Linked DNA regions of Notamacropus eugenii. The protein of the gene in region 4 purifies or fractionates together with the protein of the main gene of each other region. This does not show direct contact. Links are inferred from orthologs where the notes say so. Each region holds a gene or a part of one and is shown on either strand. Other genes may lie near its edges.

Region 1 (8,105 bases), about 28 Mb from region 4:
ATTCAAACCCAAATCTCCTAATAGGACCTGAGAGGTCTCTAAGACTAGAACACAAACCTGGGTTCAGAAGATGAAAGCTACCAGTTCCCTAGCATCCCACATTCAGGACCCAAAAGTGTTCATGTCTATGTTTTATATTTAACAAATGTTTATTGATTGATTATCATAGAATAATCTCTTTAAATGTCCTTGTGCTAATTTCACTATCAGATAATTCTCCCCCTGGCCTGGTGGTTCCCCAGGTCACAGGTTCTGAGCTTCATCACCAGCTGTGCCCTTTCTTCTCTATCTACTGATCACCACTCTAATTACTATAGTGAATTATTAATGATAATGAGACTTTGCCTCTGATAAAGGTGCCAGAATTTCCTGTTGATGGCACTTACACTAAAGACTGGGAGGGAGATTTATTTCGAGCCTTATTTTCACTGCTCTTTAAGCAGTGAAAGCACTTTAAAATTGGATATGTTTTAACATCAGAACTGAAAGGAATTTTAGAATGAACGTTAGAACATAGAAGGTTAGAGTTGTTTAGAACATAGAATGTTGTTTTTAGAATGTTAAGGTTGGCAAAGACCTTAGAGATCTGAATCTGAATTTCTAGCCTATGTAGAAATCCCCCTTGCATGACATCGTTAACAACCTCTGGTCATTCAGTCCCTGCACAGTAGGTACTCAGCTCAGGGATGGAGGAAGAGGTTTAGAGAACGCCAGTTCCTTACCCAGCCAGAAGTGGAGGTCATATTGCAGGGTTCCATCCCTTCGTTTGATGGTATTCAGGATTAAATATGCATCACCAGTGAAGAAGTCCCCATACAGGTTCTTGGGTACTGGTACCAAGTCAAACTGCTCCACCCTCCAGATCTGCAGGCCAGGCTCCTTCCCTGCCTTCAGGAACTCTGCATGTTCTACCACCATGCTGACAGGCTGGGGAAAGAAAAGGATGAAGAGAGGTGAGGAAAAAGTACCACAAAGGGGTAAATGCAGCAAAAGTCCTCAAGTTCCAGGACCAGAGTCAATTTCAAATGAAGATACAATGGTTTCCTGCAGAGGAAAACTAAGATCTCAAACAGGACTCAAAGAGAAACACCTAATCTTCTGCAGTCTGCAACCAGTATCCTGGAAAGATATGGGGTTTCTGTAGCGCATTTCTACAAAAAATACTGAGATGAGAATTGGGATATGTGGACTCTATCCCTGACTCTTCCACTAGGTCATTTTATACAAGGGATTTCCTCTCTTTCGGGCCTCAGTTTCCTCATCAGTAAAATGAGGAGGTTGGGCTAGCATCCCTTTTAGCTCTAACATTCTCTGGTCTGTGTTCTAATATTCTAGTTTTAAGACCCTATCCAGCTCAAACTTTAATTTTTTTGATTCACATCATTCTCTACCCCCACCTTCCAACATGGAGGGCTCCCAGAATCCTTTCTCCAAATCCTTTTCAATTTCTCTTTTAGAATCCTTCCTCTGTTTTCCTTTTTTCTTGATCCTCCACTGACTTCCAATTTCTCTCTCTTGATACCAAACAAATCCTATTTGCTTGAATTCTGAACACTTAAGGCAGCAAGGCGGCACAAAGGCAGAAAACTGATTTAAGTGGCAGTCAAAACCCAGTGCCTTCAGCTAGGGAACCCATGATCGCTCTCCCCTTTACTCTGGAGCCTCCAATCTCCTTTCCTAAATATTTAGGAGATAGAAAAATTGTACTTCTCACCCCAACTCCATTCCTTAGTTTTGATCAGAGCTTGAAATCAAATGGGATTTCCCTTTTTCCTTTTTGGTGGAGCTTTAAAAAAACAAACAAACAAGCATTCCGAAGTCTGGCTCCAAAGCATGGTGGTATTTTAAAGAGCATTGGACTTGGAGTGACGAGACCTAGGTTCTGGACACAGCTCTGCTACTAAATAGTTGAGAAACCTAGATAAGTCACCTGACATCTCTGGGTCTGTTTTCTCATTGTAAAAAGAGGAGGTTGGAACGAGGTCCTTTTCAGCCCCATTGTCTGTATTTTAACATCCTCCATTCTAATCTTCCTTCTACCTCTAAATTCTACTGTCTGGGGTCTGACACTACATTCTAAGGGCCCTTCCAGCCTTAACAGTCTCTGTTTTTGAAGGTCCCTTTCAGCTCTAAAATCCAAATCCCAAGAACAGTTGCCTTTTCTCCATCATTTTCTCCAGAATCTAGGTACCTTGGATTGGCCAGTGCAAATTTTTAAAGCATAGCCTTTCACAGATCTCACAAACAGCCACTTAAAAAGACCACCCAGACTGTGCCTGTTTCCGCCACAGCCTTGCCCCACTCCCCCCACCTCCTTCACAGACAACCAGGACAAATCCCGAACTTTAAGCCCTATATAGCCCCTCCCGGAACGACCCACCCACACCCCAGCAGCAAACAGTCAAATGGTGTTTGCACATTCGGAGGACAAACACAGGCCAGCCCCGAGATCAATCGAAATCGATCCCTGGGTCTCTGCTGGGGCGGGGTCCATCCCATTGCTGGACACAAGAGGGAGAGAAAACTTTTCGCATGCACCCATTCACTCTGCCCCCAGGAAGAAAGAAGATTGCGGAAGGTGAGCAGTTGGTTATGCTGAAGAAGGCAGAAGAGTACTTCCAAAGGCGATGCTGTCGATTAGTAAATATCCCAGTATAACAGCCAAAGGGAGGAAAAGAGGGGTCCAGCTTGAAACCGCGACCGGAAATCATACTTACAAAGCAACAGAATAGTTTTTCCATTATAGACCTTAATTATGCCCCTTTTCCTAGCGTTGTATCTGAAAAAACTTATAATAGAGAGTTAAATGGGGTTGTTTAGGAGAGGAAGCTCACAGCCCCGGCCTCCCCCCTTCTCCCTCTGTCCCTGCCTCCCTCCCTCCCCCCCTGACGGCGCAGATCCATCCCCCCTAGCGGACTGGGAAGAGCGGGGGACGCCGGCGCCAGGCACTCACCCCCGCGGACAGCGCCACGGTGGCTGTAAGCAGGGAGACCAGCGAACCCGGGGTGACGCCGGCATGCCCGCAGCCTGCCCGCATCAGAAGGCAGCCTAGAGCCGCTAGCACCAGAAAGCCGTGGGCCATGTTGCTACCCAGGCTCAGAGGAGAGACGAGAAGACGGAGGGAAGGCTGGCTGCGTCCTTCTCCCACCAGCAGCAGGGCCAGTAATATAAGGTGACCTGGCCCGCCCAGCCACAGTGGGGACCCGCCCCAACTCCCCACGTGAGTACAGATCCAAAGCAGCTGCCACCTGGCTCAGGACCCAGGGCCCTCCTCAATCCAGCCTCCCCGTCCCTGCCCTTGGCCTTTTTTGGAGTATGGGGCAAAGTCGCTGGGAGATGATGGGAGGGAGGGAGATGTTCAGATTGACCCATGAAGGGACTCCAGGGATCCTTCAGTGAAAAAGACCAGGACCTACCACCCCATCCTTAGGATCTCAGAATTTAAAGATGAAAGAGACCTTAGTAATTATTGAATCCAAACCCCCTCATTTTACCCAGAAGGAAACTGAGTCCCAAAGAGGGAAAGTGGTTTATCCAAGGCCCCAGAGTTAGAATACGGCAGTTCATATTTGAATCCAGGTCTTCTGACTTTAATTTTAATGCTCTTTCTACCTGAATATCACCTACATCTCTTATTTTCCTCAGCCTCCTGCATAAACACAGCCCATGTCTGTATCGCCCTTTGCTAGGTTACAGTACATTTTACATACATTGTATTCTCACAGCATCCCAATGATGGTAATTAGGGCAGGGATTGTTCCCTCCATTTTGCAGAGACTGGTAATAGTAACATTGTCCACAGCTTAAGGTTGTCTTTTTCTTTCTTCACAACACTATGAGGTAAGGCACACAAATGTCATTACTTGAATTTTGCTGATGAGGAAACTGAGGAAGCTTACAGAAAATGACTTTTCCAAGGTAATTTGATAAATTGTAGAAACTGATCTTTGGACTACCAAGTCCAAGGCTCTTTCCATTAGCAACCTCTAATAATAATCCCCTGCATGTGTATTTAGAGCCCTTTATAGTTTGTGAAGTGCTCTCACATGCCTTTGCTCCTACCAACAACTCTCTGAAGAAGTGTTTAGTGCAAGTGATTTGCAGTCAGAAAGCCAAGGTATCAATCCAGTTCTATTACCTACTATTGTCACAAACTATCCCTCAGCCAAGTTATTTAATATCTCTAGACCTCATTTCCTTCATCTGAAGGACAGAGAGGGGAGAGGAGGAGGACTGAGAATTGGGTTGTGATAACATTGCCTGGAATGGAGTAAATTCTTAGTAAATGTTGTTGATCGATTGACATCAGAGCCATTTAATCCAACATTCTCAATATACAGTGACACTAACAATGACAATATGGTACTAAGAAATAAAAGTGACTTGTCCAAGGTCACACAGGTAGTAAGCAACAGTTAGGATATGAACCCAATTGTTCTGACTAAATCCAGTGCTCTTTACACTGTAACACTATCCCTAGAGCAGGGTTTCTTAATCTGGATTCTATGGACCCCAGGGGACCCTCAAGGATTTTGTTAATAGAATTCAGAGGGTCTATAAATTTGAGTGGGGAAAAAATATCTTTATTTTCACTAACATCCAACTAAATTTTACCCTTTCCTTTAATTATGAATGTAACCAGTGAACTTTTATTCTGTAAAGGGATCTATCATCTTCACCCAAATTCACAGAGGGGTTTATGACACACAGGAAAGGTTAAGAATCCCTGTTATTTGAAATGATCTTTAAGATTTTCACCATCTCTGAAAACTATAAAGTAGGCAAGATAAGGATTCTTATATCCATTTTACAGATGTAGAAATTTGAGCTCTAATAGATAGCATCCTTGCCCAAGATGACAGTAACAAGGCCATGATAGAGCTAAGAATAGAACCTAGGTCTCCTAGCTCCTTCTCCAGTCCTCTTTGTACCTCTTTTCCATCCACACTCCAAGCATGCCTCTTAAACTACAGTTCACTCAGGCTTACTCCTTTCTCCATTCCTATCCCACCCTCTCTAGGTCTGTTTCCTTTCTTGTAAAATTAAAGGGTTGGATAAAATGATCTCTGAGATCCTATTCAAGTTCTAACACTCTAAGATTAATAACAGTAATAAATGGTAACAGTTCTCTTTAAGGCCTACAAAGTTCCTTCCTCAAAACAATCTAATCTAATTGTTTTACAGCACAGAGGGCAAGTATTCTTTTCCTTGTTTTTCAGATAATGAGACTGAGGTGCCAAAAGCGGAAATGACTTGCCCAGAATCACAATCAGGAATCATCAAAGGAGAGGATCAAACCCATGTCTTCTCACTTCAAGAACAATCCATACAGTCTAATTATCATCATAACTTTCTCTACGTCCTGTCTTCCAAACTAGACTGTAAGCCCCCTGAGGTCAAGGATTTCATTCTAAATGGTTTTATAATCCTACATTATTTATCACCAGAACTGGACACCTAAGGCACTAAGCAATAATGAAATAATGACCGACATTTATATAGCATTTTACACACATCATCTCACTGGCTCTTCCAAACAACCTTGTAATTTAGGTAATATAAGTATTGTAATCCTCTCTTTAAAGGTAAATGAATCGAAACTCGGAGAAGTTCGGTGACTTACTCATGGTTGCACAGCTCTTCAGCAGTATCAGAGACAGGATGCAAAACCAGATCTCTCCTGCCTTTTAAGGCCAGGGCATTTCTACTCTCCCTCCAAATCCCCCATTTAAAAAAAATTAATTTTTAAGTTTAAAATGTATTTAAATTTAATTTAAAATGTATTTAAGATTTTAAATACATTATAACACAACCTTGGGAGGAGGGGTGTACAGATTGAAGAAGAAAAACATTTAAACCAAGGTTTTCTAGACAGTAACCACATCTTGAGGAGCAGCTAGGTGGTGCAGTGGATAAAGCACAAGATGACCTAAATTCAAATCTGGCCTCACATATTTACTAGCTACGTGACTCAGGGCAAGTCACTTAACTCCATTGGCCTCAGTTCCTCATCTGTAAATTGATCGAGAGAAGGAAATGGCAAACCACTCCAGTATCTTTGTCAAGAAAATCCCAAATGGGGTCAGCAAGAGTTGGACATGACTGAAATGACTGAACAACAACCACCACCACATCTTACCATTCACATAACACGTCCAAGTAGCACCCCTTCCCAACTCTTTGCCATGAATATTGAGGTATTTTTCATTCTTTTGCTTCCATTGCTGTAAATATTGTTTCCTTGGTTCTACTTATCTTCACTCTGCATCAGTTTATACACATCTTCTCAAGTTTCTCTTAACTCCACACCTTTGTCATTCTTGCTGTACAGTGATATCTGTGGTCTATTCTTGTAACATTTTTGTTTCAGCCAGTGGACACCCACTTGGTTTCTAGTTCCTTAGTAGTTCAATGAGTGCTGCTTTGAATATCCCACGTCCCTCACCATCTTTCCAAACCTCTTCTTTCCTCAAGTTACCTTATCAGTATCCCTCTCTCTCAACAAAGGTCCTTGCCAAATACCCCACTAAAAAAAAAAAATTAGAGGCCATCCATCTCCTTCTCCTCAACTTTACACTTAAAGTCATTTTCACATTCCCATCCCTATCCCCACCTCCAGACTTACCCTATGACCATTCTTCCAAACTTCATCCCCTCAGCTTCTGCCATTGATCCTATCCAAGAGCCTGCCCCTTCAACCATTGCTTTTTTTTCTCAAATTTTTTTTAATCCTAATTCTGTTAATTTCTCTTCTTTATGCATTGATATCATTCCTAAACCTATCCCTTCCCCTCCCCTTTCTCTTCCCAGAAAGCCATCGCTTATTTTAAAAAAAAAATTTAAAAAGGAAAAATAAATGCCAATTCTGTAAAAAATCAACCAATGCAACGACTGTCAATATATGCAAGATACCACACCTATAGTCTCTCACCTCTGCAAGAGAGGGAGGGTCTTGCATTAATTTTCAATCTCTAGCCACTGTACCTTTCCCTGCTGCTTTAAATATGAACAACTCACTTCCATTCCTAAGAAAACCTTTATATGATGCTATCGTTGCCTCAAGCTCCTTTCCTATATCTATTTCCCTTTCACAGCCAAACAAATTGAAAAAGCAATTTACACTCCATGCATCTATTTTCTCATTTCACACTCATTTCTCAACTCTTTCAACCTGATCACTCACCTAAAACTGCTGTCTCCAATGATCCTTTAATTGTCAAATCAGGCAGTGTTTTCTCAGTCCTTGTCACTTTCTTAACCTCTCTACATCATTTGATACTGTTGGTCACCCCTTTCTCCTACACATCTTCTCCTCCCTGGATTTTTATCACTCTTCTCTCTTGCTTCTCCTCCTTCCTGTCAGCATCTCCTTCTTAGTATCCTTTACAGATTATCATTCTTATCCTATCCCCATGTGTGGGTATACAATACTCAGGGTTCTGTCCTGGGCTCTCTTCTCTTCTATCTCCAAATTTTCTCTAGGTGATCTCATCAACTACCATAGCTTTAACTATCAATCCCATACAAATAACATACAGACTTATCTATGCAGGTCCAATCCGTCTCCTCAATCTCTCCTACATCATCAAATGCTTATCAGACATCTCTAAATTAATATGCTATGGGCATCTCAAACTCAACATGTCTAGAATAGAACTCATTGTGTCTCTATCCCACCTTCAAAAAACAAAGTATCTCTTCCTAACTTCACTACTTTACAGTGGGGACCAACATTCTTCTAGTCATCCATGTTCCTAATCTCAGAATCATGCTTGACCTTTTCCCCACCCTTGACATTCAAATAGTTGTCACTCTTGTGAATTCTGCCTCACCAATATCTCTCACATTCATCCCCTTTTCTTTGCTCACATGGCCACCATCCTAGTTCAGACCTTTATCTCTTGTTTGGATTGTTGTAATAGTCACCTAATTAAACTTCCTGCCTCTTTTCTCCAATAATCCATGCTCCACATGGTTGCCAAAGTGATATTTCATTTTCTTAATATTTTATGTAAAAACATTTTTTAACATTTGTTTTTTAAAATTTTGAGTTCCAAATACTCTCTTTCCCTTCATCCCTCCCACCCTCTCCTCCCCCCACCTTA
Region 2 (7,418 bases), on a different chromosome or scaffold from region 4:
CTGTGGATGTGCTGTGCTAGGGAAGATCCTGGCCTGGGATCCCTTGATTGTATAAACAAGTATAAGGTGGGTTATGCTATATCATATTGTACATTTTTGTGTCTGTTTAAGGCCATGTGGCCTCCTTGGTAATATGTTGTTATGAATTGTGAATGCTTTGGTTTCTTGAATAAGATTTAGTCTTGAGTAAATAGAGGGCTTATACTGTGTGATTTGACCCTAAATAAACATATATTCACAGTAGCAGCCCTCAGGTGTGCTGTGCTGATTGTCGTTACACCAGGAGAAAGAAAAAGCAAAACAACAAAAGAAAATAGCTGCTTCGATTTGCATTCAGACTCCATATTTCTTTCTCTCGATGAGGATGGCATTTTCCATCATGAGCCTTTTGGCATTGTTTTAGGTCCTTGCATTGCTGAGAAGAGCTAAGTTTATAAAAGTCAGTCATCAAACGTTGTGGCTATTACCGTGTGGGCAGCTAGGTGGTGCAGTGGGTAGAACACCAGTGCAAGAGTCAGGAGGACCTGAGTTCAACTCTCACCTCACACACTTGACACTCACTAGCTGTGTGACCTTGGGCAAGTCACTTAACCCCAACTGCCTCATCCTGGGTCATCTCCAGTCATCCTGATGAATATCTGGTCACAGGATTCAGATGGCTCTGGAGGAGAGGTGAGGCTGGTGACTTGCACAGCCCTCCCTCACTCAAAAACAAAGTCAAGTGCAAATCATGTCATCATTTCTCTAATGGCATGGTCTTCTTCGGCAATGAAGGACAAATACACTATTACTGTGTACAGTGTTCTCCTGGTTCGGCACATTTCACTTAGCATCACTTCATATAAAGCTTTCCAGGTTTTTCTGAAGTCTGCCTGCTCATTATTTCTTATGGAACAATAGTATTCCATTACATTCATATATCACAACTTCTTTAGCCATTCCCCAGTTGATGGGCATCCCTTCAATTTCCAGTTCCTGGCTACCACAAAAAGAGCTGCCACCAATATTTTGTATATGTGGGTCCTTTTCCCATTTTTATGATCTCTTTGGGAGATAGCCCTAGAAGTAGTAAAATAATTCAAATATTGTGGAGTCACAGTCAAAATAACACAAGATTTAGCAGCTACCACGTTAAAGGATCAGAGGGCTTGAAATATGATATTCTGGAGGGCAAAGAAGATAGGATTACAATCAAGAATTCAGAAAAAATAACTATTTTCCCTGAGTTTTCAAGGGGAAGAAAATGGACATTCAATGAAATAGCATTCGAACATTCCTGGTGAAAAGACCAGAGCTGAATGGAAAACTTGACTTTCAAATACAAGACTCAAGAGAAGCATAAAAAGGAAAGAGAAATCATAAGAGACTCAATAAGGTTAAACTGTTTACATTCCTACATGGGAAGATGATACTTCTCACTCCTAAGAACTTTCTCATTATTAGGGCAGTTAGAAGGGGCATATGTAGGCAGAAGGCATGGGAGTTGAATTGATGGGATAATATCTAAAAACAATAAAACTAAGTTATGAGAAAGAAGAATGTACTGGGAGAAGTGACAACAGAGAGGTAGGATGGGGGTAAATTATCTCACAGAAAAGAGGTACAAAAGAGATTTTACAGTGGAAAGGAACATGGGGGAGGTAGAGGATGGGAGAAGGTGAATCTTACTCTCTCTATAATTGGCTCAAAAAGGGAACAACACACACACACACACACACACACACACACACACACACACACACACACCCAGTTGGGCATATAAATCTATCTTACCCTACAGTAAGGATGAGTGAAAGAGGGTGCTGATAGAAGAGAATGCAGATTGCAGCAGGCCATAGTCAGAAGCAAAACATTTCTGAGAATGCGCAGAGTGAAAGGAGAGAAAGAACAGGATAAACAGAGGGGAAAACAGAATGGAGGGAAATACATAGTTAGCAATCATAACTGTGAAAAATAAATTTTACAGCAAGTATTTCTGATAAAAGCCTCATTTCTCAAATATATAGAGAGCTGAATCAAATTTATAAAAATAAGAGCCATTCCCCAATTGATAAATGGTCAAAGGATAAGAACAGGCAACGTTCAGACAAAGTAATCAAAGCTATCAATAGTCATACAAAAAATGCTTTAAATTATTATTGATTAGAGAAACATATTAAAACAATTCTGAGGTACCATCCAACACCAATCAGATTGGCTAATATGACAGAAAAGGAAAATGACAAATGTTGGAGGCAATGTGAGGAAACTGAGACTCTAATACAGTTGTGAACTAATTCAACCATTATGCCAAAAGTGTATAAAATAAGGCATACCTTTTAACCCACTACTAGGTCTATATTCAAAGAGATAATAAACAAAAAATGGAAAGGACGCATGTGTGTATATACAAAAAAATTTATAGCACCTTTTTTAGTGGTGGCAAAGAAATGGAAATTGAGGAGATGCCTATCAATTGGAAAATGGTTGACCCAGTTGTGGTATTTTATTGTAATTGAATGCTATAATGCCATAATAAATGATGAGCAGGATAATTTAAGAAAACTTAGGAAGACTTTCAAGAACCAATACAAAGTGAAGTGAGCAGAACCAGGAGAAGAGTATGATGACAGCAATGTTGTTCAATGATCAGCAGCAAATGATTTATCTATACTCAGAAATACAATGATCCAAGAAAATTCCTACAGACTTATGATGAAAAATGTCATCTAGCTCCAGAGAAAGAACTGGAGTCAATGCAGATCAATGTATACTTATTCAAAACTTTTTTTAACCTGTTTTCTTTCACAATATGACTAATATGGAAATATGTTTTGGAAGAGAAGGAGGGAGAGAATTTCGAACTCCAAGTTTTACAAAACGAATGTTAAAAATTGTTTTTACATGTAATTGGGGGAAAAATAAAATATGAAGTTTTTTAAAAGAAAGAAAAAGAAGACACAGCCCCAGTCTCTCGTTTGAGCTTCCAGATAATGTTTCTAGAGGTTTGAAGGTCAATATATCTGCAGAATCAAGGTTGGGAAAGAAACCACAGCCCATTTTTATCAACTCACAGATATCCTTACCTTCCTCCTTCTGCTATTTCCTTTCAAGTGTGTATACTTTTATCTTCTCCTAACTCACTTTAAATTTCATTTTTCTATGCTGCTCATGTATTCACATTTTATATAAGACTGCTGAAGCTGATGCTTTTTCTTGGCTCTCTTTTTGTATACAAATGAGCCTGTGCTCTGAACATAATAAAACACTGCTAACTATCTCTAGATTGTTGATTTGGTGATTGTCAGCAATACTTCATCTATGGACCCTTAGAAAATTTTTATCTCACTGATACCTATGCTGAAATGAGAGCTCCCATTTTGGATTACTTTCCCAGCTAAGCCACATTATTCAAAAGGGTATTTTTCTATATATTTACAATGTCTTTCTTGCCACTCTCATTTATAGCTCTTTTGGGTTCATCTATTTGGAAAACTTTTATAACTGGTTCAATCCTCCCTCCGCCCCCGCCCCCCCAAAAAACCCTACTAAAGTACTTAAAAATGCTTCAACAATAACAAACATTTGTTAAAACTGTGGTAGACACTATTGACAAAAAGACAAAATTGAAGCAGTCTCTACCACTTATGATCTTACAGACCACTTGGGGACTGAGGTGAGGAGCAGGTTGTAATGTATATGCTGCTAAGTATGATACAAGGAAAATTGAATTCAAACACATCAGTCCTCTCCCCACCTAAAACACAATGCTCTACGGAGGCTTGCCCTGCACCCTGGGCACATTTAAATGACCTACCATGGAGGCACTTTGCCTGTCAGTGTTCCCCATCCTTTGACCGGCTGCACATCCCAGCTCCACCACAATGTAAACTCTATGCACCTAACCAGGAAGGTACCTCGGCCCTCACCTTTAGACCTCAAGGCTGGGGGCGGGTCTTTTTCTCCATCTTTGGCCTGCTCATTTTGAAAGGTAGGCAATGATACTCACAGGATAGGGAATGTGAGCTACTGATCCTAGAGCCAAGAGTCCAAGTGAGATTTTGCAGCTAGCCAGGCTAGCAGGGAAGCTTTGGCAAGGCTAGGATGCCAAGGGTTCAAGCCCAAAGACGGTGTGGCCCTAGGTTAGGACTGTGCTCTGCAGGACCTAAGCTAAACTGTTCATATCCTTATTACTGTACCACTGAAGTAAATATTTCTTGGTACAAGCTAATGTGGCTATTAGCAACCAAGAAGAACCGGGAGCCTCCCACGGCCCGGCAGGGGCTCCACTGCGCAGGCCTGGGCTGGGCCGGCTGGCCAATGCGGCCGCGGGGCGGGGGTGCGTTCTGGTGACGCTCCGGGCCTACGGAGGAGCAGCTACTTCCTGGAGCCGCCAGCCGAGGCCGCTAGTTCTCCCCAATCTGCCCTGGAGGGTGGTCGCCAGGTGCTGACCCCGCCACTATGTCCCATCAGACCGGCATCCAAGGTAAAAGACACACGCGGCCTGTGGGGAGGAAAGGAAAGAGGGGTCTTTGGGCGCCGGAGCTTCTCCAGACGCGAAGACCAGCGGTGGCCAAGGTGGGGTGGCCGGGTCCTCCGGGAAGCCAGGCCTTTTTCCTCACTCACCCTTTCCGTGCCCTGACCACAAGGGCTGGGGTCTGGAGGCTGAGCCGCTGTGGACCCGTCAAGCTTCCCCGGTGTCTAGTGGGGTAAATCCTCAGAGACACTGCCGCGGCCAGTTCCAAAGCAACTCATTCTTTTGGAGGCTTTTGTGCTTGGGAAACCAAATAAATGTCCGGACCGTCTGGGTCCGCGGAGGGAGTATTTCCAGAACTCCTGTACTCATTCATTCCCTTTCTTCTACGGTTATTAAATTAGGATTCATTGCTCTCTCAGCTCTTGGACTCCTCATTGGAAACTAAGGGTCTGCTGGTGAGCTTGTGAGTTTTTTTTCTCCGTAATGGCAACGGGGCACCTGTAATCCTATCTCACCTGTAGTTAGTTCCTGGTTTGAATAACAAGTAGGCTGGAAGCACTCACCTGAGCTGAATAAAATTCTGCTCTGCGATAGTGACTTCAGCTTCTCTTGTGGATTAAAAATGCAAGCCGAAATTTGCCAAGTTCCAAGGATACAAATTATCTTTCTAACTGAAATTATGTTCCATTGTCCCGTCTTTGTTGGAACACTCAGTGCACAAAGATTTTAGAAAGTTGTAACAAAGTAACTTCCACCCTCACCGTGGAGTGATTCCTCCTGTAAAGAATACACCCAAACCTAAAGCTGTGGAAGTTTTTTTCACTGATTTTCTTCGTTATTTAAAATTTTATTGATTTTAATACTTGATATTTGTACACAGCTCACATGATTCCTATACTTGTACTATTTATAGTAACAGTAGTACTGATAATTAATAGTAGGTATATAAAAAATGTTATGCCAGTTTCAGTAGAGTATTTTATATTTTTTGAGATATATGAAGTCTGACAAATGTAGTACATAAACCTAGCTCATTCTAATCATCTGTAAAATCAGGGGGATAATCTGTAAGGTCCTTTTATCTCCAAATTTACTGCTGTGAAATGGTAACTAATGAAATACTTCAAACTCTTGATATTTATATATTTAGGTATATGTACTAGAGAGGTTAAATATTTTGTCCTTGGTCTGTGTTTGAACTCAGGTTCTCTGAAGTCCAAAACCAGTGTTCTGCTACACACTACCTAAATTTTTGATTCTATTTTTAGTTTAGGTAAGAAAGGGTGTTTACTGTTGTTCTTATGGAGGAAAAACTTAATACTGATATATAGTAACTAAAGTTAGTATCTATCTTTAATGCAAAACCTGTATAGTGCAAATATGATTATCTCTTTTATAGATGAGAAAACTCTGAGATTAAATAAACACAACATTACTGATTTGAGTCCATATATTTTTTTTTTCATTAATCCTCAGTATCACGATTAAAGTGAAATATAAACTGGTAAAAATAGTGTCTTTTCTGAAATGTTTTAATATTTTACCTTGTTTAAATTATAAAAGGAAAGAATAAGATTAATGTGTACTAACTTTTTCCATTTTTTTTTTCTTTCAGCAAGTGAAGAAGTTAAAGATATCTTTGCCAGGGCAAGGAATGGGAAGTATAGACTTCTAAAGATTTCGATTGAGGATGGTAAGTTTAAAACAAATTTTTAACATTGTTTGGTAAGAGGTAGAACTTTTGGGGAACTTTCATGTTTGTGATTTGAGATACTCGTATAAAATTAAGAAATTTTGCAGTTTTTTACTTGTATCTTTTCAGGGTTAAAAATAACTTAGTTCCTGCAGATTTTGGACAAGTACCTATCTGCAAGTAACTTACTTTTTGATCTTATGAGCCTCGTGTTTTTACTCCTTCTATATGCTATAGCTGCCTATCAGTGAGAGAGGAACATGGCTCAAAATCTATATAATTTTTTTCCTTCTTTGTATTTATGCGTCTATATTTTGCCACACCCATTTTTTGTTTCTGTGCTCCTACATCAGTAGATGAAATGGGTAAACAGATCATAAATTTCAAATTGGAAGGGACCTCAGAGGCTTTCTGGAGTAGATTATGAAATTTGTGGATTTTTTCCCTTTGAAGCATTTCTAGTAATTCCTATTGAGTGATCAAATTATAGATATCATATAATTCATTATTAATTATTTTTTTACCATTTTAGGCATTGAGCAGAACAGAAAATAGGCACAATCAGTCCCTGTCTTCTGCCTACATGTGAAAAATGTATATTTTCCAAATACAGACAGGTATAAAAATAGTAACAGCTAACATATATTTGCCAGGAGGGGCAGCTTCGTGGTACAGTAGATAAAGCACTGGGCTTGGAATCTGAAAGACTTCAGTTCAAATTTAGCCTCAGACCCTAGCTGTGTGACTCTGGACAGGTCACTTAACCTCATTTGCCTCAGTTTCCTTGTCTGTAAAATGAGCTGGAGAAGGAAACAGCAAACTACTCCAGTATCTTTTCCAAGAAAATTCCAAATGGAATTTTGAAGAGTCGGACATGACTGAACTACAACAGTGTGCCAGGCACTGGGCTAAGTGAAGGTTAAATGACATACTTTGAGTCCCAGAGCTAGGACATGTCTGAACTTGGAAAATAGCTTGAAGATATGACAGAGTTTACTGAAGAATTTTTCATGATTTGGCATGAAGAGATTGAAGTTTTTATGTATAAAGGGGATAATTGTGGGGGTCACTCCACAGTACATGAGATTATCATGTTCCAGGATTTTTAGCTGTTGAAGAAAAAAATGATACTCTGAATTTTAGGAACAAAGCTTCCAGAAATAAGTTTTTATTTAATTTAACATTGTTTCTAAGTTAAAGGCATTTGTAGTTTTAGAATGAGAAGTGTCCAATCTGGCATAAGACACTCGTGCACTCTGACATTTCTCT
Region 3 (7,587 bases), on a different chromosome or scaffold from region 4:
TTTGAGAGCTGAAAAACACTCTGGCCTAAGTCAACTCAGACAAGAGACAAAACTGATGTCTGGAATGTGAAAAATGACTTGCCCAAAATAAAAATAAGAGTGCCAAAGCCAGGGAGACAAACTTTCAAAGCAAGCACTCCCATCTGTCCTTTTTACCTTCTTGGAAGTTTTAAGATCATTTATTGCAAGCCGTTACCCTCTTTGAAACTGACCTGACTTAGAATATTATCACATTTAAAATTATGCTGAGGACATAAACAGAAAGTGCAAAATAAAACAAAATCAAAACTGACTGCCGAGTAATCGTAAGGACCAAACTGGAGGCTTCCACAAAAAGATATGGGAATGAAACCTGCTTCCTCTCTTGGCAAAGGTGGGATACTGTGGGTGCAGAACACCACCTACACCATCTCTCTTAGTTAATACATTGCTTAGTTTTGTTACATTTCATTGTCATCCTCTTTTTACATGGGATGGCTCTCTGGGTGAGATATAAAAACAAAAAGCAGCAACACAAAATTTGTAAAATAAAAAACCACAGCATCGAACTTCATATTATGTCACTATGTATCATGTGCTGACGGTCCCAAGAGTTTAATCAGTAGCAATGATCAATATTCCGTGGAAAGATTGTGCCCAATTGACTTTTCTTAGTGCACTTGCACTCCTTAGTCTAATATGAGGATGCAGTTCTCAGGAGAGGAGCTGCCACTCCATTTGTCTTCCAACATGCTTCAATCAGAAAAGAAAAACTGAAGCTATTTGAAGGAAGCCATTTTTAAGCTTTCATTTTCAAGAATTTGGAATACTAGAAACACAACATTAAATAAGACCACTTTCACAAAAATTTTAAGCTGTCATTACTTCCCAATTACTGTTGTTAAAGTGATGAAAAATGAGATTTTGGAGAAAATAACTATCTCCCTCTGAAGGAAATACACTTCAGGAAATCTCACTAAGGAGAACAAAAACTGGAGGTGGGATAAGGGGAGAAAAAGAGAAAAAAGCAGAATAAACAATTATAGGTGGAAAAGGCCTTAGAGAACATCTAGTCATTAAGAAACTGAAGTCCAGAGAGATTAAAATGGTTGAAGTGATTGCCCAAGGTCATCCAGGTAACAACAGCAGCGCTAGTGCTCTCTAGATCAGAGCTAGGACTCTCAAGATTCCCAGTCTACTCGTTTTTTCCATTAAGCGTTGCTCCTATCACATAAAAAGACATTTTCCCTATTACTCACACTTGTAAGTGAAAGTTTTAAAAGCCATTACTGTTTCCAAATGAATGAGGAAGTCACTGAACCCAAGAGAAAGCTGTTTAAAATGAATAAATAATATTTAAAATTCTAGCTTTTAAAAAGCATGTCCTGAAATCTTTCCTTAAAGATGAACATGCAGTTTTTTAAATATAAACGTTTTTACAAGATGCAAATCACACTGCTAGAACAAGTTTTGAAAGTCTTTGGCTAAATCCCTTAAACATACATATATTCCTTACATAGGAACATATTCCTTGCATATCTACATACTCCTTAAATCCATATGTAAATTCCTTAAATACATATTGAGGCAGCACCAAAACTTCAAGTCAAAGAATTTGGTTCAAAGTACAGTCTCTGCCACTACCACTGGAGCGACCTTGGACAGATCCTCACCTGTCACATCAGTGAATTTGACTAGGTGACCTTTAAAGTCCCTCCCAGCTCTACATCTATGAACCTATGTTTGAACAAATTAGAACAGAAAGTTCAGGTCCACACAATAATCAATATCAAACACAACCAAAGACTGAAATAGTCAAATAATAGATTTCATAAGTTATTCTAAAACACTGACCCATTTATATGATGGAGAGTCAATAACAAATGGCATACATTACTGTCAGTTCCTACACCATAAAGCTGGCAGTATTTGAAATCGTGTTTCTGAAATTATTCGAAAAATATGCTTAAATTTATACTAAGTATTGATTCATCCTCCTATCAAGATGATTTAAAATGAGAAAACATCACCTATCATCCATAATTTAGGGGAATGTGGGCAGCAAAGTCTGAGAAGTTCCCCATTAAACAGGGTGGGGGAAGAGAGAGATTGGAAGGTTTTTTCATTCAAATTAAAGCCCTTAAATGAAGTTGCAAAATAAAAGACATTCTACCGCAGGAGAAACTCCCCAGAAGCACCTGAAGCTCATAGATACCCTATCTGCCTTGGATTTCCACTTTCATGCCCCAAGGGACAAGTTAACTCTTTCCAACTCAAATTCTGGGCTCCAGAGCCTAAAACAGAAGTCTCGCTCTGTTCCAGCACAGCAGAGTTTATATTGGGGATGCACTTAATTTCCAAATAAATGCCTTTATTACTCGCTAGCAGCCATGAGACAATATGCGGTAGTGGAAAGAGAGGTGTAGTCAGGAAAACCAAGAGTTCAAATCCCACCTCCTGTTACCACTAGCAGGACCCACAAGTCACACAAATATAAGGCTCAGTTTCTTCATGCGTAAAATGAGATTAAGGACAAGCCAGATACCTCATTTACAGGACTGTGGTGCTAGATGAAATAATGTATGTAAACTGTTTTACAAACCTTAAAACGCCATAAAACATCAGTTATTATTATTGTCGTTATTTCTGTTACTTTTACAATTACTTTTTACAACTAACCTTTACAAAGCAGAAAAACAGAAAGAGAAATCAATCTTCTCCCTTCTCCCCCCTTTTTTGGCGGGGGAGGGGAGAGAAGGGGAGAGACTACGGTGAAAACCAAACCACAGAATTCTGTAATGACTGGTACTGGAAGATTTCAGAATTCTAAGAAGGATTTGTCTGGTGGAACACTAACATTCAAATTGTGATTGCATTCAAGAGACAAACTCAAGGTCCTTCAAAAGACAACTTCTTAGGCCTTAAGTCACCTTTAAAATAAGACGACCCTATAAAGACGATTCTTACACCTGCGGACTTTCAAGCTCCATAATCAGGAATTTAGCCAAGGATAGGAAAGTCTTTTGTTTAAAACATACCCATTCCTCACCCCACCCCCACCCTTATCTTCTACTTAGAACATTCGAAGCCCAGTGCAGAAATTCCTTACCCCATTTTGCCCAGTGCAAACTTCTGCCGAAGTTGCTCTACGGAAGAATTTCCCAAGGAGTCTTTCCAGTGGCTTCAGCGCCGTCGATTCCCCACGTGATCCGCGCGTGTCTGGAGGTATTTCAAGGATGTTTCCTCAGATAAGTGAATGTCTCGCGTGGAGATCCCGAACCGTTCAAAGCAGAGGAGGTGGCATCTGCTTGCCAGAGTTAAAATGCCGCGCCGGGGAGCAGCGGAGGCCAATGCTCATTCCACAGCGCGAGTCCGCGTGGGTCGGTGCACGATCCAGGTTCATGGAGTCCTACAAGAAAGCAGTTCGGCGGACGCTGCTCGCATGTCCTTTTGCACAAGGATGCAGTCCCCGCGCCAGGAGCTGGCAGGAGGCTCGCCTTCTTTCTCCGAGCTGCAGGGAGAGCGAGCGGCGCGTTCAAATCTCCCTGGCACCCTGCAGGTCTACCGGGTGGGGAGCGCGACACCACGGGGCATGCAATTTAAAAACTGGTAAAAACAATGGAAATCAAAGCCCAAAAATGGGGAGGAAATGCAACGGTTTCTGTCCCCTTGCAAATAGAAAAAGATTTTTTTTTTAAATAGAAAAATCTCAAAGCGCAAACCCAGCAGCTCCCAAACGTGCACGATACTCCTAGGAGGCGAAATCTTTTCCCTCCCCCTCCTCTAGGACTCAGAGCATGGAGGAGGTGGGGAACAGGAAGAGAAGGCTGAGGAGGATCGATTCAATCTCCAGAAGAGAATAAATGAAGCCATTTCAAGGCTGGCAGCAGGAGGGGAGAGCGGCAGCACATCTCGGGGAAGGCGGCCCCCCAAATCTCACCTCCCTCTACCTCCCCCCTCCTTATTCGGCTGAACACAATGGAGCCTGGCCTGCGCTGGTCCCTTCATTCACTGCTCTTTTTTTTTTTAAATTAAAAATATATTCTTATTCCTCTCCGTCTCTCTGTGTCTCCCTCTGTCTCTGTCTCTATCTGTCTCTCTCGTTCTCTCCCCCTCTCCCCCTTTATAGCCAGAGGCTGCGAACCTCCCAGCCAGCGGAGAATGAATGAATCAGAGACAGCCGAGCCCCCCACGCTTCTCCCCAGCACCGAGCCCCCAGCAGTACAGTGCGGACTGGAGGCAGCCAGAAGAGAGGGAGGGAGGGATGGCTGGCTGGATGGATGGATGGAAGGATGGATGGTGGGGGACGGAGGGGAGGGGATTTCAGTATCAATTGGCTGCACCGGCCCGTCAGAGGATGCGATCGGTTCTGCCCACCCGCGGGGGCCCGGGAAATGTGGCTCCGGGGTGCTCGCTGGCAAGCTGCAGCCGAGGGAGCCAGCTCACATGCCTGGCCAGTCCTCCTTCTCCCCAGCCTCACACCTCCATCCTCACCCGCCCCCGCCTCGATCTCTCCTCGCTCTCCCGCGCTCCGAGGAGGGCACCAGCCCCGGCCCGGGCCGGCCCCGCTCGCTACGGCCGCTGCCTCCTCCGCTGCCGGGCTCCGGGGCAAGCAGGCGGGGAGGCTGCCTACCCCACCGCTGGCTACCGCCTGGGAAAAGGAGGAGGAGAAGGAAGAGGAGGAGGAGGAGGAGGAGGAGGAGGGAGGGAGAATGGCAGGCAGAGCAGGCGGGAGGAGGGAGGAGGAGGAGGAGTGCAGCGGGGGGCAGGGAGGGTGGCAGCGCGGGTGGCAGCGCGGTCTCTCGGTCCCTCCCACTAGCAGCAGAGGAGGCAGACAGCGCCAGCGGCCGCGAAGGAGCAGCCGCTCCCCGGCCTCCCGGGGAGGAAGGCGACGGCCCGGCCGGGGGCGATGGGGCGCGGGGCTATGCTCCAGCCGCTCCAGCCGCTCCAGCCGCCGCTGCCCGCGGGGCCCTCCCCCCGGCCTCCCTTAGACGGCCCCGGCCGGCCGGCAGCTCCTCGGCCCAGCCCCCGCCGCCGCCGCAGCCTCTGCCCGTGCCCACACCAAGCTCGTTCGCTGTGTCTCCATCCTCCCCTCCGGAGGACCTTTAAATAGCAACGTCACCGCGTTCCCCTCCGCACCCACGTCACCCGCCGCTCACGTCACCGAGGTGCGGGGGATGACGTCACGCGGCCGGAAGGACTGCTAAATTAGGGAAGAGTGGGGGGGAGGAGGAGGCGCTGCCAGGTTCCCTGTGCCCACCTGCGCCCAGGCCCGGGAGAGAAAGCCCAGGAGGGGATGGGAAGGAAGCGGCGGGAGGGAGGGAGGGGGGCTTTTCCAGCAAGGAAGAAGCCAGATCCTGGTGAATCATCTCCAGCCACCGCGCCCCAAGTGTCAGCCGGGTGATTTCCTCTGTCCCACTCACTGCTACTGCTGTCAGCAGTCTCCTTGGGCTCCTTGTGTCCCCGCCAGCGATAGCGTGTGGGAGGGAAAGCCCTGGCTCTTACCGGTTGCCAATAATGCTTATACCGCATCCTAAGTGGATACTGTTGTAAAGAAATCACTGGAGCTTGATAAGTATCCAGTCCGTGCCCGTGGGCATGGCACTCTACAGCAGTGTTACAGAACGAAAGACAAGTTCTTGATTTCCTAAAGGTGGCTTACCAAGAAAGTTTATCCAAAAGGAAGTAGCTAAATCGAATTCCAAGTTTTTGTGAATCCCGATAATTAAGAAATTCAGTACCTAAGAAAACAGTGGAGCTAGTTCCTTCTTTTCTTAATTTGGAAAACTTTGTTATTGTGCTCCCAATAGTTTGGGTCAGTCCTGATCACAAAAAAATACCACCAACAGAGATCATTTTCATTTTAGGATTTCTGTAAAGTGCCATTACGTATGAGGCATGCCTTTGTCATGCTCTCATGTTTTGGCTTTTTACTGAGACTGCTGCCAAGGATTATCACTTATGTTCATGATAAAGGCGGGCAAGGATCCCCAGCCAAAAGAAATTTAAAATGAAAACATCTCCATTTCTCCCGGCCTCTTTGGATATGAGCAAAAACCTACATTACAATATTTTTTCTACATATATAAGACGGATGATTTAACTGGCGTGAATGTGCAGTTAAGAAGAATTGATCAAGTGCCTGTTATGTTCCATGCACTGTGCTGAGTGCTAGGGACACAAATGTAACAGCCACTACCCTGGTCTGAATTGCCAGAAGGCCAGGTTATGCACCTCTCTTTCATGGTTCTCCAGTGCTCACAAGGGAGTTATGGGTATCCAGTCTCCTTGTCATTGGCTCCAGCCCCCACCAATTCTGTTCCTTCAATTTTAGGGCTCCCCTACAACCCAGTTCTACTTCACCACCTAACAGCCAGATTAGCTTTTACAAAAGAAAGTTTATTTCTAAAGTGTAGCAAGAACAAACGTAAATGTGTCACCCAACATGGAATAATACACACACACACTCATACCCCTATCCAGGTCAGATTCTGAAATGGGAGGAGGATGAGGTTCACAACTCAGCTCACTTCCTGTACATCTTGAGCCTACCCTGGGTTAAGTCCTGCCACCTTCAGTTCTCAGGCTTCACAGATGGACTGACAACAAAATCCCCATTGGAATCCTTCTTCTAAGGGACTTGAATCCCCCAGGGACTAGAGATTCCCTTATCTGGACCTAGAAGTGAAAAGGGCAAATGAAAGAGACCCAAACCCCAAGTCCAGGGTCACAGGGCCTAAAAGGGGTGAGGAGAAAAGGACTATCTCTCTCAATAGTTCAGTTCATGATGCCTGTCCTGAGAGTGAACAGTTCTTTCACCCCTCTGAACACAACTGGAAAGAGAGAAATTAAGAATGTTCTAGCCTGGTAATTTTAAACATACATCCTGTTCCAACTATGTAGCCAATGGAAAAAGGCTACTCCCACCCACATGGTAGAAGAATGCAGAATGTCTTCTCTCAGAAGCAGGGCTTTAGCATCTCCCACAAGTTAGGTTATCTGGACATATCCATTACACAAGAAAAAACAAAAACCAATCTCTATTCTCAAGGAGTTCACAGTCTCCTACATCATAGCAGAATTTTACTTTTCCCCAATCCAAGGGACTGGTCTTTGTGAGTAACTGGTCAGGAAAATTCCTTAGCTGATGGCCAAACTAGTGGCCATGGGCCTCTTCGAAATCAGTTAGGCTGGTTCGGAAATGTCAGACACACAGACACACATTGCTCTCCTACAATACACACTTGCTTGGCTGGAATTCAAAGCCTTTCTAGCTTGGGACCTACCAGAGCTAATGCTTTACTGACATAACCGTTGATAACCGAGAGTCATGGGATCACAGATTTAGAGCTGGTAGGTAACCTGAAAGACCCCTCTAGTACAATCTCCTGATTTTATAGTGGTGGTAATCTCTCCAAGGTGACAAGGCATCAGAAAAGGACTTCAGTGGGATCTTTGGCCAGCTAACTTTTTGTATTTGGATGCTTACTAAGATCTGTTATTTGGAATCCACCAATAGAAATTATATACATGGATACAAGTCATGTAAAATGCTATGCAACCTATTAGAATACAGATTGCTATTCTACAAATCTCCATACAAAGTGC
Region 4 (7,189 bases):
AAGCATATAAGGCCACAAGTCATTCATTTATGGATATGTGGTCAAAGAATATGAGCAAATAGTTCCCAAAAGAATTACAACCTTAGTAAAGATTGCCCCAAGTCATTAATAAAGAGAGAAATAGAAATCAAAACAATTCTGAGGTTTCTCCAAACACCCAGCTAATTACCAAGGTTGACAAAAAATGGGAATCAGTAGCTTTGGAGGGACTAAAGAAAGAAGGAAATAAGCATTTGTTAGCATTCACCAGGCACTGTGCTAAGAACAATGTCATTGGATCTTCCCAGTCACCCTGGGAGGTAGGTGCTATTATCATCCCCATCTTACCTAAGGTCATACAGCTAGTAAGTATCAGATGATAGATTTAAACTCAGGTCTTCTTGACTCCAGGCCTAGCTCTTTTTTTTTTCCTTTTTTAAAAAATTAATTAATGTAAAAAAAAATTAATGTATTAGTTTTCAGTTTTCTACAATCACTTCCACAGATCTTAGATTTTCTCTCCCTCCTTCCCCCTCCATCCCTTCTCCCTCTCCCTTCCCTGCCTGAGATGTCCTGAAATCTTATATGGGTTCTACACATACATTCTTACTAAATACATTTTCACCTTAGTCATGTTGCATGGAAGAATTAAAATGAATGGGAGAAACCATGAGAAAAACCAAACCAAAACAAAACACAAGAGAAAATAGTCTGCTTCATTCTGCAATCCAATTCCGTACTTCTTTCTCTGGATGTGGATATCATTTTGCCTCAAGAGTCCATTGGGAATTTTTTATGTCCTTGCCTTATTGTGAAGGGCTAAATCTACCAGAAAAATTCTTCTCACACTGTGGTTGTTGCTTTGTACAAAATTCTCCTGGTTCTGCTCCTGTCACTCAACATAGTTCATATATGTCTTTCTAGGCCTCTCTGAAGTCTTCCTGTTAATCATTTCTTATAGTATAATAGTATTCCACTACATTCATATACCACAACTTGTTCAGCCATTCCCCAATTGATGGGCATCCCCTTGATTTCCAGTTCTTGGCCACCACAAAGAGAGCCAGGCCTAGCTCTTTATCCATTGTACCACCTAGCTGCCTCCAGAAAGAGATGTTTCTTTACTTCTGGTGGAGCTGTAATTGGGCAGATCATTCTGGAAAGCAATTTGCAATTATGCTAAGAAAGTGACTGGAATGTCCCCAGTCTTTGATTCAGAGACCTTACTATATTCAGCATATACCCCGAGGAAGTCAAAGACAGAAAGATCCTATATACCCCAGAATATTTGTAGCAGCATTTTTTGTGGCAGCAAAAATTAATTTTTTTAACTAATTAACTTAAAAACAAAAATAGATACCTATTGACTAGAAAATGATAAACAAGTTGTGGTGCATGAATGTAATGGAATATGAATGAATGAAAATAATCTTTAGTAAGCACCTACTATGTGCAATGTTATAGTGATAAGCCTGGGGAATACAAAAATATAAGTGAGTCTCTGTCCTCAAGAAACCATTTTAATGGGATGATAAAGACTAGTGAAACTTGGTAGTTAGGCTGTGTCTGATGCTTTGTGACTTCATTTGTGATTTTCTTGGCAAAGATATGGAAGTGGTTTTGTTGTTTCTTTCTCCAGCTCATTTTACAGATGAGGAAACTGAGGCAAACAGGATTAAGTGACTAGTCCAAGGTCACATAGCTAGTAAGTATCTGAGGCTGGATTTGAACTCAGGTCTTCCTGACTCCAGGCCCAGTACACTGCACCACCTAGCTGTCCCAAAATTTTATTGTTAGAAGCTTGGTGAGACACATGAATTTATGCAAAATGAAATAAGCAGAATCAGTAAAACCAATGACTACAGGAATTTAAATGGAAAAAAAACCCCAAAACTGAATGCTGTGTAATTAATTACACTACTCAAAAACCATATCCCTTAAAAACATCTTTTTTTCTTTGCAGAGGTTGGGAATTATAGGTGTGGAACCCTACATATACTTTCAGGCTCAGTTACTCTTGCTGAATTGTATTTTTTTCTTTTAAAAAATTCTTTGTTATGAGGGATGGCTTTCTGGGTGGGAGAGGGAGATATATTTGGAAATGAAGGTGATGTAAATGAATAGGGGGATAGAAACAGAAGTTGAGTTCATTTGCAGAGCACAGGAGGCATCATGCTGAAGTAGAGAGAGCCTTGGATTAGGAGTGGGGGGAGGGAGTGTCTGATTTTGAACCTTAGCATTGACACTAACACACTTGTGACCTTGGGTAAGTGTCTCTTCTCTTCCTCTCCCTTTTTCTCAGTTTCCTCAGCTGTAAAATGAAGGAGTTTGGACCAGATGATCTCTAAGGTTCCTTCTTGTTCTGACATTCTAGAATTTCTGGGTTCCTCATCTAGTAACCCTAGGCTGGGTCTATTTGTGGAAACCAAGTCCATCTGTGGAGCCAGAAGCTACTTAGAATTAAGAAAAAGATGAGTTAAAACTAAGTTCTTTTTCTACTCGGATGTCCTCTTGTCTTAGCAAACTTAGGGGAAAATAGATTTTCCCCCCTACCTTGGTGGGAAAATTCATGCAGAAGGTGGGTTTGATCAAGGGGCCTTCTTAAAGTCATTTGGTGGTGGGTTTGGGGGCATTCAGATATAGAAAGATTGTCTTAAGATGCTGATACATTCCCACCTAGGCTGTCTTCTCACAGTCCTGTCCTACTTCTTTTCCTAATAATAACACATTTCTATAGCACTTAAATGTTGACAAAGCACTTTCTCCACAACTCTGGGCTCTTTTCTCTCTCTCTCTCTCTCTCTCTCCATAAAGTGATCAGCCACTTAGATGGCTTCTACAATTACTTTTACATCATGGTTCCCAACATATCCTGATATTTCTTCTAATCTCTACGTCTGTATCTTCAGTTGCCTATAAGACATTTTCACCAAGATAATGGGGGTGGGTGGGGTGTGAGCAGAGTTGGCGATGAGAAGGGGATGGAGTTAGTGATCCTCGAGGAAAAGGATAGAATTCTTTGTTGCAAATAATGACTCTTTGGGAAGGGGAAGGGGAAAAATAGACGTGGGAATTTAGATGATGTAAAAACAAAAGACATTGGTAAAATTTTATTTCAAAAAAGAACAGAATTGGGGATATGAATGGGGACAGACTGAGGACTCAGACAGGGATAGGATAGGGCAGTGATAAGAAATGGCGTAAGAAGAATTGAAAGGGGTTTGGGGAAAAGATAGGAGGATGAAATCGGGTTAGGGATAAAATGGGTGGAAGATGGGCTTGAGAATGGGAATGAGGATATGTAGAAGATTCAAATTGTCAAAGGCAGGGATACAATTGGAGATGGAATGGGGATACAGATGATGATGGGGTTAGGGATGGGAATGAGTTGAGAATAGTTTTGGGAACGGGGTAGATGGGGAAAAGGGATGGTGACAAGATTAGGTTGGGGATGTTGTTGAGAATGGGGTTAGGAATGGGTTGAGGATGAATTGATGATTTGGATGGGCATGGGCAAGGGTTGGGAATGGGATTGGCATGGGGATGGTGTTGAGGACAAAGTAGAGATGAGAATGATTTGTGAATGGCCTGGAGGATGAGGTTGTGTGTAAGAATGGAATGAAGACAGAGGAAGGATGAGGGGGATAAAACATGAGAATGAGCATGAGGATGGACTAAGGGTGGGGACCGCTTAAGATTGGCATGGGTCCAGGGATGGAGGGAGGGACCAAAAATTCCCTGGGCTCTAGCAGAGTTTCTGAGGGAGGTAGGGAGAAGGAAGATGCCTCAGATGGGTGGGGGAAGGCAGTGATGCAGCAGTGTTCCCATAGTACCTGTGCTGTATGCCTGACCATGTAGTGTCACTGGAAAGGGGTCAGTGCGGGAGGACAAGAGGGTTCGGAAGTGGTGGGGCTGGGGGTCAGGAATCTGGACCGGAAGAAGGCCGTTGAGGGTGGGAGGGTAGGGGGCGTGACTATTCCTCCTCCCTCCCACCGGGTCCCTCTTAGGTAGAGACTGGCGCTAGGACCGAGCGGAGTTTGGGCCGGGCGGAGCATCGCGCCCCCCACCCTCCTGCCTCTCCTTCCCCCCTCCCCCTTCCCTCCCTGCCCAGCTTTCTCTCCCTCCCCTCCTTCCCTCCCTCCCTCCCTCTCTCCCCTCCCCTCCCTTTCTCTCCCCTCCCTCCCTTCCCCTCCCCTCCCCCGGCTGGGCTGTGCTGGGCTGTGCTGCGCTGCAGTGTCTCTCTCCGAGGCAGCGGCAGAAGCAGCGGCCCGATCCCTCGCCGCTTTCTCGGCTCTGGCCTCGGCTCCTCCGCAGCCCCCGGCCCGCCGGCTGCACCATGGCCAGTGTCAGCTTCAGCGGCCACCGCCTGGCGCTGCTGGCGGCGTACCAGGAGGTGATCCAGGAGGACTGCCCTGCCGACTGGTGAGCGGCGGCCCGGCCTGGCCCCCCGAGGCCCCCAGCCCTGGACCCTTTGTCCCTAGCCCGCCTGGGCTCGGGGAAGGGGGCTACCTCTTTGTGTTCCCGTCCAGTGGCGGGGAGAAGGAGTTTGGGTGGGAGCCGGAGCCTGGGCGGGACGGGGGCTTCGGGGGATCCCCAGGAGGGCCCCGGAAAATGGTGCATTAGGCAGAACTAGCCCGGGCCCGAGGGGGGAGGGGGCCGCCTTTGTGCGATCCGACCAGGGAGGGAAAGGGGGTCCTCCGGAGGGATGCTCCGGGTGGGGCCGGGCTCGGCCCTGTGGGGCGGGGCCAGGAGCTCGGAGTTGGGGTGTGTGTGAATGGGGGGCTCGTTGGTCGGAGTTGAGCCCTAGGTGGGGGAGGGCTAGGAAAACTCGGTTGGGGTATTGGAGATTAGATCCAGATGTGCAGCCCCGCAGGCTTTAGAAAGCTCCAGGGGATCTTCTCCCTTGGTGACTCCCGGGCCCTGTGTCCCCGCCCGTCGACTAGCTCCGGGCAGGTGTGTGTGTGCGCGCTCCTGGGCCAGCCAAGGGCACCTTCCAGTCCAGTTGGCTGGGGTTTGTTGGGCGGGTGGGTGGGTGGGAGTGTTATCTGTGGCCGGGGCTCCGAGACACTACTGCCCGGCTGAATGAGGGCCCTGGCCCGGCCCGGCCCTAGCCGGCAGCACAAAGGAAGGAGGGAAAGAGGGAGGGAGGAGGAGGAGGAGGAGAAGGAGGGCGCGGTGGGGAGGAGGAGGGATCGAGGGGATGTGTCAGGAGGGGAGGGGGAGGGGAAGGTCTGGGGCTGCTATCTGGAGATTAGGTGATGGGGGAACCCTTTTCGAGAGCCCCGCCCCCCCGGGGGTGCATCTCCATGCGCACCGGCCCTTTTCTTCTTGAGGAATTGGGTCGGGGGAGTCCAGCCTGGGGCAGCAATATTGGAGGCATGGATTTAGTCCCAGGAATATCCCTAGGGATCTTAGAGCAGGGAGAGAATCTGAAGGATATTCCTGATACCACCCCATCATCCTCATCCCAGCTCGGAGATGCCATTTCGACGCCCAGAACATGAGCCCCTCCCCACCTTCTCTGCTTTATTCCATCTCATTCTCTTGCTCCCATGCCTTCCTTTCTCTCTCCTCAGACCCTCCTTTCCCTTTCCCCAATTCCTGTGGATCTTAGGAGGCCATGTGCGTCTGGACCTAGGGATGGAGGGGAGGGGCAAGGAGGGCTTGGATCTTTGAGTCTGGAGGAGTGAACCCCAACAAGCTTGTCTTAAGTCTGGGTGGTGAGATGACTCAGTTTCCTATTCTCTCTAAAAGGGGCCAGTTCTCTGTCCTGGTGCTGGGGTTAATATGGTGATATCTGGGAGGGGAAGGCTGGGAGGATGAGTGTGAAGAAACTAGAAAAGCAGAACTGTGGGGTGAGTTATAGAAGAACCCTGGGTACAGGGAGTAACCCCACAATAGTCTAGTTATGTTACTGTGTGTTTTGTACATAGTAGGTTTTTAATACGTTTGCTGAATTGAATAGAGAACAGACCAGGCTCCAACTCTGTGCTGAGATTGGTAGGGGGTGGGGCCCCTGGGGACAGAATTCCCCGCTGGGCTCTATACAGTGGCCTCAGTCCCACTCTGGGAGTCCAGGTCCAAATAAGAGATAATGGCAGGCCAGAGTATCTAAATCCCAGTGCCATATGGATGCCCTTTGTCCTGAGCAAGAGAGAAAGGCACAACAGCCGTAACTCCTGGGACCCTGGGTCTAGAGGGGTCCCAGTAATAATTTGTGACAGTCTTGAGTTCGGGGGAATCAAGTTAGCCCTAAATCTGGAGGATGAATCCTACTGAGATAGTAGTGAGTGTGGAGGATTAACCCTAATGCACTAGCCCTGATTCTCAGAGTAGGGGTAGTGAATTAACTCTGAGCCCTGTAAGGGAACCAACCTAGCTGTGAGTCTAGGGGGGGAATTGATTCTGGGCTATGTGTGAGAGAGAGCGATCAGAGTTAACTGTGAGTCATGGGGTCGGGGAGGGAGAAAGCTAGCCTTGACCCTAGGGTGACCGCCATGAACTAGCCCTGTTTCTGGGTATACAGTGAGGTAGCTCTGAGTCTGGATGGTTAGTTAGTTCAGGGGACTAGCCATGGGTATATGAGGCAATGAGATAGTGCTGAGTCTGGAAGGAACCCCAATGAGTTAACTCTGCCTGTGTGTAGGGGAGGGGCAGTGAACTAGCTGGCTGGTACTGGGGGAGGTGGCTACAAATCTGGGGGATTTGTGGAGAGGGGTGGGGCAAGAGGCCTTCAGGAGCTGGGCGGGCCCCTCAAAATGGCTTCAGCAGCTGGAATTCCAGCCCCAGCTGCTGGTCTCAACACAGCCCCGGGAGAGGCTGCTGCCACCTGCTGTGATGTGGCTGAAGGTTCTGTCCCTGCCCTGGACCCTTGTTGGGGAGAGACTCCAAGGCTTAGAATCATCATTCTTCCCTTCATTTTCTGGGTTGGGGTTGGGGTGGGCACAAACCTGGCTATCACTGGGTGGGAATAGTCTTTTTTCAATGCCCTGAAGCTCCTTGGGAGGGCGGGGGTACCACAGTCCTGACTCAAGCCCCATGTATATAGCTACTACCTAACATAACTCTCCTCCCATGTTACCCCCTCCTCCCATACCCCAATTTAGTCCCTTTCCACTACCTAGAAGGGGGGGATATCTTGTTCCCTCTTCCCCCAAAGACAAGTATTCTTTGTCTAAAAGATAAGACCTAGGCTTCACCTTCTGACTGT

What was found.
Region 1: the proteins of DBN1 (region 4) and GSN purify together in Homo sapiens (co-immunoprecipitation; 3 studies listed by BioGRID and IntAct, counting the BioPlex papers as one, with this or other methods). This does not show direct contact. The link is inferred for Notamacropus eugenii from reciprocal best matches to the Homo sapiens genes DBN1 and GSN.
Region 2: the proteins of DBN1 (region 4) and TWF1 purify together in Homo sapiens (affinity purification with mass spectrometry; 3 studies listed by BioGRID and IntAct, with this or other methods). This does not show direct contact. The link is inferred for Notamacropus eugenii from reciprocal best matches to the Homo sapiens genes DBN1 and TWF1.
Region 3: the proteins of DBN1 (region 4) and HOMER1 purify together in Homo sapiens (co-immunoprecipitation; 3 studies listed by BioGRID and IntAct, counting the BioPlex papers as one, with this or other methods). This does not show direct contact. The link is inferred for Notamacropus eugenii from reciprocal best matches to the Homo sapiens genes DBN1 and HOMER1.

What each region holds. Positions count from the first base shown.
Region 1 is NC_092872.1:442,108,535-442,116,639, reverse strand, and holds the start of GSN (gelsolin), read right to left. Parts: upstream 3,088-8,105; 5' UTR 3,083-3,087; coding exon 2,954-3,082; exon of another isoform or gene 2,951-2,953; intron 2,789-2,950; exon of another isoform or gene 2,742-2,788; coding exon of another isoform or gene 2,718-2,741; intron 1,787-2,717; exon of another isoform or gene 1,715-1,786; intron 928-1,714; coding exon 723-927; intron 1-722. UniProt on the Homo sapiens protein: Calcium-regulated, actin-modulating protein that binds to the plus (or barbed) ends of actin monomers or filaments, preventing monomer exchange (end-blocking or capping).
Region 2 is NC_092874.1:211,907,759-211,915,176, forward strand, and holds the start of TWF1 (twinfilin-1), read left to right. Parts: upstream 1-4,299; 5' UTR 4,300-4,440; coding exon 4,441-4,465; intron 4,466-4,605; exon of another isoform or gene 4,606-4,906; intron 4,907-6,071; coding exon 6,072-6,149; intron 6,150-7,418. UniProt on the Homo sapiens protein: Actin-binding protein involved in motile and morphological processes. Inhibits actin polymerization, likely by sequestering G-actin. By capping the barbed ends of filaments, it also regulates motility.
Region 3 is NC_092875.1:473,553,864-473,561,450, forward strand, and holds the start of HOMER1 (homer protein homolog 1), read right to left. Parts: upstream 3,192-7,587; 5' UTR 3,094-3,191; coding exon 3,089-3,093; intron 1-3,088. UniProt on the Homo sapiens protein: Postsynaptic density scaffolding protein. Binds and cross-links cytoplasmic regions of GRM1, GRM5, ITPR1, DNM3, RYR1, RYR2, SHANK1 and SHANK3.
Region 4 is NC_092872.1:414,375,270-414,382,458, forward strand, and holds the start of DBN1 (drebrin), read left to right. Parts: upstream 1-4,040; 5' UTR 4,041-4,315; coding exon 4,316-4,401; intron 4,402-7,189. UniProt on the Homo sapiens protein: Actin cytoskeleton-organizing protein that plays a role in the formation of cell projections. Required for actin polymerization at immunological synapses (IS) and for the recruitment of the chemokine receptor CXCR4 to IS.